Drosophila melanogaster: one gene and its partner. The protein of the gene in region 1 purifies or fractionates together with the protein of each later gene. This does not show direct contact. Each region holds a gene or a part of one and is shown on either strand. Other genes may lie near its edges.

Region 1 (8,414 bases):
TACCGTGCGGCTATCTACGTTCACTGAGCACCAGAAAAAAACACAAATAAGTGGGCCAGAATCATTTTCAATTAGCGCGCAGCTCGGAACATTTATGGGATTTGTCAAATATATATAATTTGAGGAAAACTTTGTTTTATGGTTCCGTGGCTTTTTGAACCCGCAAATAAACATTTGCGTAATGCTCACAGTTTGTCCCATTGCCTGTTATGCAAAAGTTGTAAACGACAAGGACGGCGAAGAGTCCTCCGGCATAGCTCCTGGATATCCTGTTTTATGCCCAACTCCCCTTCTCCAGCTTCTCGCAAAAGTTGCCGCAGTAATAAAGGAGATTACCGTGCACATAACATGTGAGTAGCCGGAGTCGAGTCGGAGATAGAGAGGGATTGGGCAAGGTCTGAAATGATTTCTGGCCTGGCCACAAAAGCCAAGGGATCCTTTGAGGCGGTCAGGACATGGATATACTGGACTCTGCAGCTTCTGCCGGTAAAAGAAAGTTGTACAGTTAAAGCAGCACACTCATAGAATAAGCATTCAGAAGTGCGCAAAAATTTTGAACTACATTTTCTTATGTTCTCCTTTTTTTCTACTAAACGTTGACCACAATGAGGGGACGTCTAAATGGATCTACTTGAATTTGCTTGAATAAAATGATATTATGTTTCATCATAGTTCGTAGTAATTTTTTCCAGTCTTGACTTACCTCGCTCGATCGCCCCTTATTTTGACTTAATTCAATAACTAATATCTTATGACAAAAATTCGCTTCTAAATTTGTTTATATGTATTTATTTACAACGTACATGCGGATAAAGTCATTTTTAAGCTATACCACCAACTTGGCTTTGTACAACTTTACCTCATTTTGACACCAACCCTTACCTGCTCTGCAATATTTAAAGTAAAGTTGGTTTAAAATTGCAATCTGTAAGTTTTTCGGTCTCAGCCACCGTCATTTAATTTGAAAGAGCAACAACAGTAAGCGCATCAGCAACTAAGCCGAAGAGTTAAAAATTTCTTAGCCAAGAGTTTTGCTTAGTTTTTAATTGCAATCAAAAAGTTGTGTACCAGGGAGCGATGGAGGGAGCTCACACATAGGAAGGTCCATTTGGCTACGCTCTGGGAAGTGGACAGTTTGGCCAGTCGGTCCAGTTTTGTCACACCCAAGGTCCCAGTCATAATGACAACAAGCAGAGACCCACTGAAATGGCAATAGAGGATGAACCCTGAATGTTGCATTTGAGAAGGGCGTCTAGAAAATCCCCGATGGCTTGGAGTGGACCGCAAAATGGCCATGCAACCAATTCTCTAGCATAAAACAAGCCAAGACCATACCCCCAAACACGTTGTCCTTGCCCATAGCTTCGGTCTTCAGCACATTGGCAAAATGCTCCGTGCAGACTTAATGATTTTTGGCTTAAAGTTTTACCAGTTAGCAGTATTTTTGCAAGTAGTTAACATTTTATGAGACAAACCACCCCACACACCACTTACTCGGACCAAATGCCCTGGGGTTTTTGTTTTATGCATTTTCCAGCTAGCCCACGAAGAACTCACTCGCTCTCCGGCGCTTTTCCTATCTTATGGGGGAAATCAACGGCGGAGCTAGACCAATTCCAAGACCAAGACCAAGATGATGACGACACACAAAAACGAAGCGAAACTTGATAAAAACTTTTATCATAACAATTTGTGTTGTTTTGCTTAGCTACCCGCTCCTCGTGCTCCGGCTGCCCAAATAAGAACAATGGGTCTATGTGTGTATTTGGTGTGCGTAATGAGAAAAGTGTAAGTGCATAGCTCAGGGCTGTTAGACGGCTACAGTTCGTCGCTTAAAGCATTTAAGTTTAGATCTAGCGGTATTTTAATTCACCAAAAATATTACATCTTGTTCATGTTCCATGTTCAAACTTAATTAAAGTATATATACCGATTTGGTGCCTGAATCTGAAAATATAAAGGACTATGGCTCTAAGCTCTCAATATAGTAATCATTTTTATAAACAGTCCAAATATACCTAATTTCTTATTTACATATTTCAAGTAACTCATACCGTAGCTAGTTAGGTTACCAACCAATTTGGCGAAGATCAGTCGTCATAGACACCAACCCAATCGTCATCAAACTGTAGGTTGAGCTTTCACCTATATTACTGGCGGCAGTAACGATGGCTCGAACGACGACGGCTCTAGAGTCAAGTTCACAATAAAACCATCGAAACCTTGCCCTGGCTCATTCAGTTGGCTGCTGGCGCTCGGCTTGGCTTTTTGGCTATTTGACTCACGCGATCGGGAAACGCGTTTCGCGGCAAAGGCTCTTGCAATAATAACGGGTTTCTCGGATGCGACACTCTCGGTTCGGAAGCTTTTCTAAAATAGCCAAAATCGTGTATGCCAATCTGTTAAACCCTACAGTCCCCAAAACAATAACATTAAAACCAATATAACTTTTAACATTTTTCAAACTCATAGCCTTGGCTTGGGCAAAGAGTTTTAATTCAACAAAACTTCAGCCGGTTCAAAGCTGTTTTAGCCGACTGGCACTGGTACCTTGCCAACATTAACAACCACTACCGACAACAACAACACCTGCAAATCAGCATAAGCCCAATTGTCGCACAGTGAATTGAGTCGAAGTGAAGGTGTAATTATCCATAGTGTACAAAGAATATCGAGTTTAAGAAGTGGCTAAAATAAACCGGGTAAGTCTCCATAAATCAGCTCAAGGAAGCAGAGATCAAATTAAGCTGCACCAGGCGTGTCCTTGAGATTACAAGTTTTATATGTACGTAGCTTAAAATTAGGAAGCCATCGGATGGATTAATAGGCGATTAACGTAAATTTTATTATTTTAAAATATTTTTATTGTTAATTAATGTACTGCTTCTTAAATCCATTACATCTTTGTGTATTTCAATACATTCAGTATGACTTGACCTTTTCTACCGTTACTACTAAGGCAATTATGACGGGAATGACGTATACGCAACGTGGGTAACAAAATCATAACACTGAATGCGTGCATATTAAATAGTGGTTCGCCTATCGATCGTTATCATCCGTTTGTTTTGGTACTGAGCGCAACAAGTTGCCCATATAAAAACACGTTTTTGCATGCTAATGCCCTGACGGTAGTCGATTGAAGTGTTTGGGATACAAACTGAGCAAATTTGAATGCGTTTTATTGTACCATTCATTTGAATATAGGTAGGTGTAAAACTGTTTGCAATGCAGGAAAATAATAACAAATGCATCAAATGAATTGGTAGCTTTAGTAGAGGAAAATAACCGAAATATTTAGCTATTTATGTAAGCACTTCATTTCCTTAAAGCTTTTTAACTTGTCTTAAAACTCATATTATAAGATGTAACTAGATAAAACTGCTTCTGACCAATTACGGATCTCTGAAATTAATGACGTCACGTTACCCATTCTCTACATTTTATTTAAAGAACAACAATAAAAGAAAAAAAAAATAGAGTTCTGATCGTCTGACTCATGCCGCGGGGAAATCACTTTTTTGTCGCGACGCCGACCATTAAGAACTGAATATTTTTAAGCAGAATTCAAAACCAGTTTTATAATGAGACCAACATAAATAAAAAATGCAAATGCTTTATTGCGGATTTAGACGTCAATCAAACATATTTGTTTCAGGTTCTCATGAGTCTTTTTTAAAAATAATTGAAAATAGAGGAGTAAAGGTTTTCTGACCCCTTCACTAATTAGCTGATTTTAAGATTTAATTGATATTTGATAATCAATGTATATTTTATGCAAACATTGGCTTAGTAACAATTTTGCTTGTTTTAATGGTGCAATAACTTGTAATTTATCGTTGTGGCCATAACCTGATATTTTAAACTATAATATCTACACTTGCTTGCCATAATGATATTCAAGCACTGGTGCAATCTGAAAAATAATCGGAACTATTTAATAATTTGAAAATGTTATATTTTCTTAGTTACTTTTACTTAATCAGAAGTAAAGTTTATATTGACATTCTATCCCTAGAGAACTTAACAATTTCGACAATTGTATGAGACAATAGAATGAATTTTATTTAACATGCCAAATTTCAATCAAAAAACGTGCTCCCTTACTGCAAGTTTATAATTGAAAATTAATGCAAACAATACGTGTCAATATTTTTCCAACAGTCAACCGGTTCATCAAGTCAACCATACCTATATTTTGTGTGCATACAAATGCATATAAATTTATACACATATATCATTATATCACTCACGGTTTAGCAGTTTTATCTCTCACACCAATTAACAACTTTGTGCCGTAAATGCAACAAGGTGTAAATTGCTTAAGTGATTCGGTAAATAAAGGACTTTATCTTCAGTTCGTTCACATAATAGTTCAAGCCATTATAAATACACAAACGTAATTTTTCAGCAAATTTAAACACTGGGTCGATTACTTCCAATAAATAGAAACTAATAGGTATTAGCTAAGAATCTTTGAACCACTCAAAAATATATATAATTTTATGGGAAAAAATTATTTTCACAAGCTGTGAGAAAGGTGAGAAATGTTTAATATCTTTTACAATTTGTAAACTTTCCAGAACATTAAATTTTTAAATCTCTTATCATGCCCAGACAAGTGCCATATTTCAGTATCTAAAGGGCAATGCAGCGAATCTCTCTTTGTATCTTATTAACCATCTAAGTTTATCTGGCTCGTGACAGTGACATCATATCTTATCTACAAGATCAGTGGGTTAGTCTGATTGTCAGTTATACAGCTTCAACAAAGAACATCCTAAAGACAATTCAGCTTAGTTTTAGTCCACAACTCGATGCTAACGGAACGAATAATTTCAGTTAGATTTACACTGGCAATATGGATACGACGCAAAGGAACCACCAAAATCTAGCCTTCGTGGGCGACGACGGACGCAGTACGGCCAGCACAGTGGAGATTTCGGTAGGCTTTCTGTGAAACGGTTCGAACATAATCCACAACCCAACTAATCATCGTTCTATAGACCAACAGTCCAGCCCTGCGAGATAATTCCGATGACCAGGAGGCAGCCAAAGTGCCAGAGGAGCGTGCCACCTGGGGCAAGGGCGTGGAGTTTCTGATGTCCTGCATCGCCATGTCCGTGGGTCTGGGAAACGTGTGGCGATTCCCCTTTACTGCCCTCGATAATGGCGGTGGCGCCTTCCTCATACCATATCTCATTGTCCTGTTCCTGATTGGCAAACCGATTTACTATCTGGAAATGGTAATTGGCCAGTTTTCCAGTCGGGGCTCGGTTAAAGTGTTCGATTTGTGCCCGGCGATGAAAGGTAAGCGTCCCAGATTTCATTGCAGTCAGTTCGAAGATGTCATACTCTTGTGCGGATAGAACATTTTTCAGACTAATTAAAAATTGAGATATAGAAAAAAAAGAAGCTATTTAAAGTAACCTTTTTAAAGACAACGCAACCTTTAAAATTGGTTAAATATACTTTTTGAATTGTAATTTAGTTACATTTGTGTATTATAACTGTATTATAATACAGTTTCTTAAAAAAATATTTAATATTGCATGTGTACCTGACGGACCATTTGATCAAAAACTATTTAGTTCAATCAAAATTCTTTTTTGAATATTAAACTACCCCATATCAACAAGAGTATGACAATAGCGAACTGCAGAATCTACATCGTCATTCTGTTCATCAACTCGCCCGCTCGTGTCCCAAATACGCGACCACATCTATAGGTGTCGGAATCGGCCAGGTGATATCTATATCCATGGTGACCACCTACTATGTGGCCATAATGGGCATAACCCTGCGCTATCTGTACGAATCGTTCCGGTCGCCGTTGCCCTGGTCTGAGTGCCGACCGGAATGGGAATCCTTCTGCGTAGCGTCCAGTCTGGGTAACACCTCCCAGTCCCTGGCCAGTCCCATGGACATGGATAGTTTGCCCCAGCGGCAGCCAGTGGCATCCGCGGAGTTGTATTTTCTGTAAGTGGTTTGTTCTCTCTCCCTGTGGTTGTTGCCCTCCGATTGCCTGTGTCATTGTGGATTGGTTGGTGGTGTTGCAGTGGCATGTTTTTCGATGGTGTTACGGGTATGTGTGGGTGACTGTGTACTGTGGGTAATCTTATCGCGGCTCGGAACTCGAAATCACAACGGCATACTCAAGTATATGGCCCGGCCGACAAAGGCGCGGAATGTCCGCTTTATTGCCCGACTAATTGAATGAGTGCCCGCATCCCTCTGGCGACAATTATGGCACCCATTGCCATCAATTGTGGTGCAGTGGCTCTGCAATAGACCGATGCGATTGCAACAGCCAAACAGAAAGTGGATACCATTCACTGGCAGTTCAATTGACAGCCATCACCATCGTCAATATCTGCATCCAATTTCAGATTGAATAACTCAATAACAACAATGTATGGCCTTGACCCAAACTTGAAATATTTTAAACACGTATACGATACAATTCTGCGTTTCTTGAACTCTCTCAATAATCACGATCTCAGTATAAATACTTGCACTATATCTTAAAAAAGAAATAATTTGAACGACAAAAATATAAACTGAAAATATATTTTCATATTAACTAAGATTTCCTGAAATAGACGGAAGTTCTAACACTTAAATGTTTTAGCTAATTTTCAAGACGTAACACTTTCATTATTTACTAATCTAATCGTTAGGACATTTGAGTATATAATCCGTTTTGTTAGTAATGTTATTAAAAATTATGCTAAAGAAATTACTGATTTCTTATCTTAACTATGACAGAGAACACTTGCCAACGGCTTCTCACTAACCAATTTATGTTTTAAGCTTCCTTTTTCCAATCATCCAACCATCATAGCACCCAAAACTCTCTTCTATCCCATTTGATTTGTGTTTAAACTCTTTCTTCTCGTAACTCGTTTGTTATCGAATGGATTAAGGTGTTGGAGCTGGCCAGGCTTTCCAGGTGTTCATGCTCAGCACTTACTATGCCGCCCTGGTAGCGATAATTGGCCGATATTTCATTGAATCATTTCGCAACCCATTGCCCTGGTCCACATGCCGTGCGGAATGGGGTATCCACTGCATTAACTCAGCCCCCGATGCGAGTAATTGGTCTCAACTGGAAAGCAATGATCAGCGCCCGCAAAATTACACAATGAAATCACAAAACGATCGGGTCATCACCAGTTCGGAATGGTACTTTGTGTAAGTTCGAAGTGTCGGGGACAGTACTGTTAAGAAATTCACAAATTGACTATTTATATGACTAATATTGTCTTGCAAGGTTTAAAATGTAATTCTAGAAATCACTTTTCAAAAACATTTATAAAAAAGTTCATATATATTGATGGTCATTTGGTGAACTTCCTTCCAGTAATGAATGATAGTCGCATGAAAATATTAGTTTAGTTTTTAATGGCTTTTGTTTAACTTTTAATACTCGGTGGTGGTCTATATTAAATGATATTCGTGCTGATTAAATTCTATCCGTCCACTGTAGTAAGGAAGTGCTGCACGAGAAACCAAATATCGAGGAAGGAATCGGCCTACCAAACTGGGAGTTGGTCATTGGACTTTTTATCGCCTGGTCCTGTGTGTTTTTCATTATTCGTCGCGGAGTGAAGAGTTCGGGAAAGGCATCCTACTTCCTGGCCCTTTTCCCGTACGTCATCATGGGTGTTCTTCTGGTGCGAGCTGTAACTCTGCCGGGATCAATAGACGGTATATACTACTTTATAAAGCCGCAATGGGGAAAGATTTTGGACCCGAAGGTTTGGTACGCGGCTGTAACTCAGTGTTTCTACTCCTTGTCCGTTTGTTTCGGCAACATCATCATGTACTCCTCGTTCAACAAGTTCGGGCACAATGTACACAGGGATGCAGCAATTGTAACGGGTCTGGACACTATGACCTCTCTGCTAGCTGGATTCACGATATTCGGTATCCTCGGCCATCTGGCCCACGAAATCGGAACCGATGACATCGGCTCAGTTGTGAAGGGCGGTGCCGGATTGGCCTTCATCTCATATCCCGATGCCATTGCCAAGTTCAAGAATCTGCCACAAATCTTCTCAGTGCTGTTCTTCCTCATGCTCTTCGTGTTGGGCATAGGATCGAATATAGCCATGACCTCCTGCTCGGTGACCGCCATTCGGGATCGGTTTCCCAACTTTGGGCAGTGGCAGTGCTCGCTGCTCATCGCTGTAGTCAGTTTCTTTATTGGATTAATGTATATAACACCGGTAAGTATTAAATACCTGCACATTTAGCGTATATTCTCTATTTTTTTTGTATATTTTAGGGCGGTCAGTATATGCTGACTCTTGTGGACTTTTTCGGCGCCTCAATGATTGCTTTGGTACTGGGAATCGCCGAGCTGTACACCATTGGATGGATTTATGGCACAGATCGCCTGTGCAAGGACA
Region 2 (5,480 bases), on another chromosome or scaffold:
AAATATATATACATATATAAAACCTGCAAAAAAAAAACATGAACTACCAAGCTAAATGTTTCAATAATATATAGATCTATATGTATGTAAAACCGATATGAAATCTGCCTACAGCCAGACAAAAAAAACCTTAAAGAGAAAGATCAGAAGAGGAACAGAAGAGTATGAGCGGGGAGTGAAAGATGCAAGATTCATCCAAAAGCGAAAAACATTTTTTTCTTAAGTCTACGCAAAACAAAATGAATGAAAAGTAACCCGAAATTAGTTTTTAGAGTATAAGTATAAAAAATGGAAAATATCGCGATAGAAAGAAACAAAAATGGACGCAGATAAGGACGGCAAGCAGAACAAGAGTAATAAAGCAGCGGCAAGAACTCCCTAAAAATAGCAAAGAGCATTGTAAATATTTATATAAATAATTTATGCCTAATTAAAGTTTAAATTAATGAAGAAAACCAGCAAAAAAACATAAAAAACCAGAAGAACCATTTCAGATTTGTATGCAAATTTGTATATGTACGTACTTTCCTTTAATTTTAGCCAATCAGTTTGTAAGATTAAATTTTTTTTTTGCATCTCTATAAAGAATAATGATATGAGGATAATGATTCCGATTTTTTTTTCCGTTTAATGTAACCGTTAGAATTAGCCCATAATGGTCGATATCTAAATGTGTGTGTATATCGATGTGATGTCATCGATTGTCGATAACGATTGGATGCGAGTGTGTGTTAATTTAATTTGATAAAAGATAAAGGAAAGCAAGGAATGTGAAGATAATGAAAGGAGATGCATAGAGAATGAGAGCGAATCTATCTATTATATAATTATGTAAAATGCACATCTTTAAATTATAAATTATACATATTTAAAAGGAAACTATTATTATTATTTTGATTACCATTATCATTATTTTTTATTATCACTTAACGGTTTCGGTTTGATCCACAGCGAAACCAACAACAACCAAGAAACAGAAACAACAAAAAGAGAAACAAAATAAACAAGCGAAATGTTTGATAAAAAAAACCACGAGATGTTTTAATTTATTTGTCTTTAATTCTTCGATTTTATTGAGTTTTTCATAGAGAAAGTTGTCACACTCAAGAACACACACGCAAGCGTATAAAGCTAAACAAATTAATACCTACTAAGTGTTTAAATAGTACTAAACGAATCAAAATATAAATACTTAAAAAGAAAAAAAAACGAAAATAAAAATAAAAACAGCAGCAGAAAAAAACGATGAGACAGTTGAGCAGACGAGAAAAACAAAGCCCATTAAATTATTTGTTGAGTATTTTATTAAAAAATAATTACGATAATAATTAAAAAGTTTAAATTGAACGAATTACGAAAAACAAACTGAATATACATATATGTGTGCATATATACATATATGTATGTATTATATATAAACAAATTATTTAATAGTTATGCTAAAAAATTATTTAAAGTGAACGGATATGAAAAATATTTGTATGCGTGCGAGCACGGAGAGAAGGGCACTCAGAATAGGCCATCGACACCACCCACTCCCTTCCGATACCCGAACATCACCACCAGTTTTCACCATTTTCTGACCCTTAACCCCTTCAACCAGACACACACCAAACACAAGAAAAGGCGAAGAAAGCCGAAAAAAAAACAATGCAAACACGAAATAGGCGGCGACGACAGAGATAAGCGCGAAGAAGATACTAAATCAATAAGTAAACATAAAAATTAATTAATAAATTAATTCCAAAACAAAATGAAAAAAGCTAAAAAAAAAACATCAAGAAAACAAAAGACAAAAGCAAACAAAAAACATGACGAAACATTGAAAATAAAAAAATACTAAAATGATTAACAGAAAACTGTTTTAATGTCAATGGGGGCAGACATAAACTTCTTCAGCAATAGTTATGGACTTAATTGTGGCTCATTACATTCTCGATCCTATGTGAATATATATGTATTTAGTTTTGGGGTATGTGGCGGAAAATGGCTGTTATCTTTTTAAAAGTTGTCACATTTTCCAGCACTATCGTACGCACAAAATACTGAAAAATACAAGAGCGAAGCGATAAATACCGTCGATTAATTCTCAGTACTTTTTCATGGTATTTATGCATACCAATCGATAGGGCAGAGCAAAAGTGGACGTAAAGCTAAGCAAATATTGCTTATTAATAATATTAATATATTAATATATCAGATCTGAAAACATCGAGACAAAACGGAATTCAGAAATGGCTTTCACAATGCAAACCGGGGATCTGAAGAAGCTGAAGTACTTCATCGACTTTGCGCTTGAGAATCCCACCTTCTTGAACATGCCGCAGCTGCAGTTCGTCAAAGATTTCGTGGAGAAGTTTGGTGGCACGGTGCCGCCTGGCCAATTCAACGGTGGCAGCGCCGGAGGGTAAGTTAACCGAACTATTTGACCAATTTTCAAAACAACACGATTGTATGATTTGCTCATCCCGCGGCTTGTTCTTCCAGCAAGTGCCCATTCGGCGGTGTTGCTGGTGCCAAGGCCAACGAGCCGGCCAATGCCCCCGAGGATAGCGAGGACGAAAAGTCCCTCTCCGATCCTGAGTCGGACGTGGAGCTGGACATGGAGGGTGAGTGTGCAAATTTTGCCGAGTCACGTGGTCATTGGGGGTCACAACCCTGGACTTTGATGCGTTGCTGTCGCAGTGCTGGCAGTTGCTTTATCTTATATCCTTTCGACACTGCAAACTTAGCGTTTACCCAAATTCGAATCCTGCAGTATTAATATATGTAATACGCCAATTAAAACTATGTATCTTCTATCCGTATTACTTCCGACGCCTTCAGGTGTGATCGAGGCGGACAGCGACCCCGCCCAACCCATGGGCAACTACAGCAAGAAGGCCACCGAAGAGGAGGTGGAGCAGGCGAGCGAGCTGCGCGCCCAGGCGGCCTCCGCTTACGGCCAGCAGAAGTTCGACGAGGCCATCGCCTTGTACACCAAGGCCATTGAACTGAGCCCGGGTAATGCCCTTTTCCACGCTAAGCGTGGTCAGGCCTTCCTCAAGCTGAAGAAGCCGAATGCCTGCATTCGGGACTGCGACGTGGCGCTGGAACTCAACTCGGATTTGGCGGCTGGCTACAAGTTCAGGGGACGCGCCCGTCGCCTCCTCGGAGATTTTGAGCTGGCTGCCCATGATTTGCGCCAAGCATGCAAGCTGGACTTTGACGAGGAGACAGACGAGTGGCTAAAGGAGGTCACTCCGAATGCCAAGAAAATCGAGCAGCATCGCTTGAAGCAGGAGCGTCGCCAGGCAGAGCGTAAGATCAAGGAACGCCAGCGGGATCAGAGGCGCGCACGTAAGGAGCAGGAAAAGCACAATGCCAGCTCTGGTGGATCATCTGGAGAATTTTCCGGTGGGAATCCTGGTAACGGAAATATGTCTGATATACTGGGCGCCATGTCAGATCCCGAGGTGTCAGCCGCCATTCAGGTTCGTGAATACTACTTTTCTATTTCTAATACAAATGCAGTAATCATATCGTTGTTATTTATTAACTTTCGTAGGACATTTTGTCAAATCCGGGTAACATCACAAAGTACGCGTCGAACCCGAAGATATACAACCTTATCAAGAAGATTGTGCCCGGTGGAGATGTGGGTGCTGCCTTTGGCCAAGCGGGTGAAAAGGCTGGAAAGCCGAGCGAGCCTAAGCCTAAAAAGGACTCCGCCGACTTCGTCGATGACGGTTTGGACTAAGGTTTAGAAATGGGGCAGTAGTAAGACTGAAACATGCGTCGATAAAAAGAAGTTAACAACCAATTACACGAAATCGAGCGAGATTACAAAACAACAAAGAAAGAGAAAGCAACAGAGTGCGGTGAAGAAGATGGACTACACGAAAAACAAAAGGGAAAGCGGCTGCCTTACACATTTTTGCAGCTGAGAAAAAACAAACATTTCCTAAGCTTTAACTTAACCAACACGTAAAAGAACGGGCGACAATGGAGAAAATTCAAATATTCAAAATACTACAAGCAGTCAGAAGAATAAGCAACATTTATTTAAATCGAGAAGAAAGAGATGTTGGAGATGCTGGAGACGCTTCTTCACATATTATTGAAAAGCATACTTGCGGCCATTAAAGTGGCAAATGAAACTATACAAAGGAGCTAGAATATGCTTAAAAACTTATCACATTTGCAGTTCACAGGTAAATCAAAAGATTGTCCTGTGACGAACAAAACATAAATGTTTAGACGTCAAGTCAGATTCAAGGGTGCCGATCGATCTAGTTGAACTAAAGCTCGAGAAACAACCAAAAGAAAATAAAAAATATATATATGTTCAATAATATTAGCCTAAATTACCGAGAACGAAGAAACGGATAAAACTAATCGCATCATTTGGTCAAACAAAATTGTACTGAGTAGGATTTAAATCATATTGTAAGCAAATGCATTTAGCCCCCCAACATGAAAGCAATCGCCCATTCATTCACACACTCATTCACACACTCATTCAACCAGTGATCAATGGAAATAAATAAACGAATCAACAAGAACCCGAATTGCTAATGTCCATATTTTTTGGTAAACGGGTAAAAGGGGAGATACTTTTGCTTTTTTTTCGAGCGGGTTGGACAGATGGAGCCGTAGTCCCTTAAACTATCCGGCGCATCACCTGTGTGGGTTGCTCACTTTGTATGAAGGACATTGGGTACGCATGGTGTATGAAAGCGTCGATTAGACGCTTCAATGGCTGCACCCTGCACCCTGGATCCAGAACCTATCTACCGCACCCCGCCCCATGTCAGCGCGAAATTGGCTAACGGACAGCTTGGCGCACATGTTCGATTATGGCCAAATCGAGCGACCAAGCAGAACCAGCGGCACATGACCTGGGCTCAGCGATGCCAAGACCTGGGTGGTTGTACCTAGAGGTACTTGATTGCTTTTTAAACTCAGCTTGGTACAGCGTACACGACTGATTATTTAGAAGCTATGACAGCTTTCTTTGCTTTGATATTTTTCATATTTATATATAAATTATAAATATATATTTATAAGCAGGTGATATGGTTGAAACATATATCAACGAATATGTCAAATATAATACAGTGAAGTGTCTGCATTATTTTATTGTACCTGCGCCATCACAGGTACGGCTCCTCTTTCCATCGACTGCAGACGTACCGCTTATGTGCATGACTGGGTGTCCGGGGTGGTGGATGTGAATGTGGATGAGTGGCAGGAGGGCGCAGGCGCAGCTCAGCCCAACAGCCAAGTTGGTCTGGACTCCTGGCGGCCCATCGCATTCCGTGGCCAGTCGCAGCGCGAGACGGTTAGCCAGTTAGCCAGTGCGGACCGACTAATTCCCAATTTCCGCTCTTGACTAAACTAAAGATTGAGAAATAAAGAAAGAAATATCCTTCGTCCGTCCCCCAGACGAAGCAGGTCAATTTTTTTTTCGTGTTACTTGCTCTTTTTCGCCAAGTGTG

What was found. Proteins that work in one complex are often made in the same cells at the same time.
Region 2: the proteins of CG15279 (region 1) and HIP-R purify together in Drosophila melanogaster (affinity purification with mass spectrometry, with the first as the bait; one large-scale study listed by BioGRID). This does not show direct contact.

Annotation. Positions count from the first base shown.
Region 1 is NT_033779.5:14,845,570-14,853,983, reverse strand, and holds the start of CG15279 (uncharacterized protein), read left to right. Parts: upstream 1-2,234; 5' UTR 2,235-2,702; intron 2,703-4,795; exon of another isoform or gene 4,796-4,842; 5' UTR 4,843-4,861; coding exon 4,862-4,945; intron 4,946-5,006; coding exon 5,007-5,310; intron 5,311-5,729; coding exon of another isoform or gene 5,730-5,979; intron 5,980-6,926; coding exon 6,927-7,194; intron 7,195-7,489; coding exon 7,490-8,231; intron 8,232-8,290; coding exon 8,291-8,414.
Region 2 is NC_004354.4:3,787,930-3,793,409, forward strand, and holds HIP-R (Hsc/Hsp70-interacting protein related), read left to right. Parts: upstream 1-2,039; 5' UTR 2,040-2,147; exon of another isoform or gene 2,148-2,200; 5' UTR 2,201-2,234; coding exon 2,235-2,407; intron 2,408-2,487; coding exon 2,488-2,609; intron 2,610-2,826; coding exon 2,827-3,473; intron 3,474-3,547; coding exon 3,548-3,739; 3' UTR 3,740-4,548; downstream 4,549-5,480. UniProt on the Drosophila melanogaster protein: One HIP oligomer binds the ATPase domains of at least two Hsc70 molecules dependent on activation of the Hsc70 ATPase by Hsp40. Stabilizes the ADP state of Hsc70 that has a high affinity for substrate protein.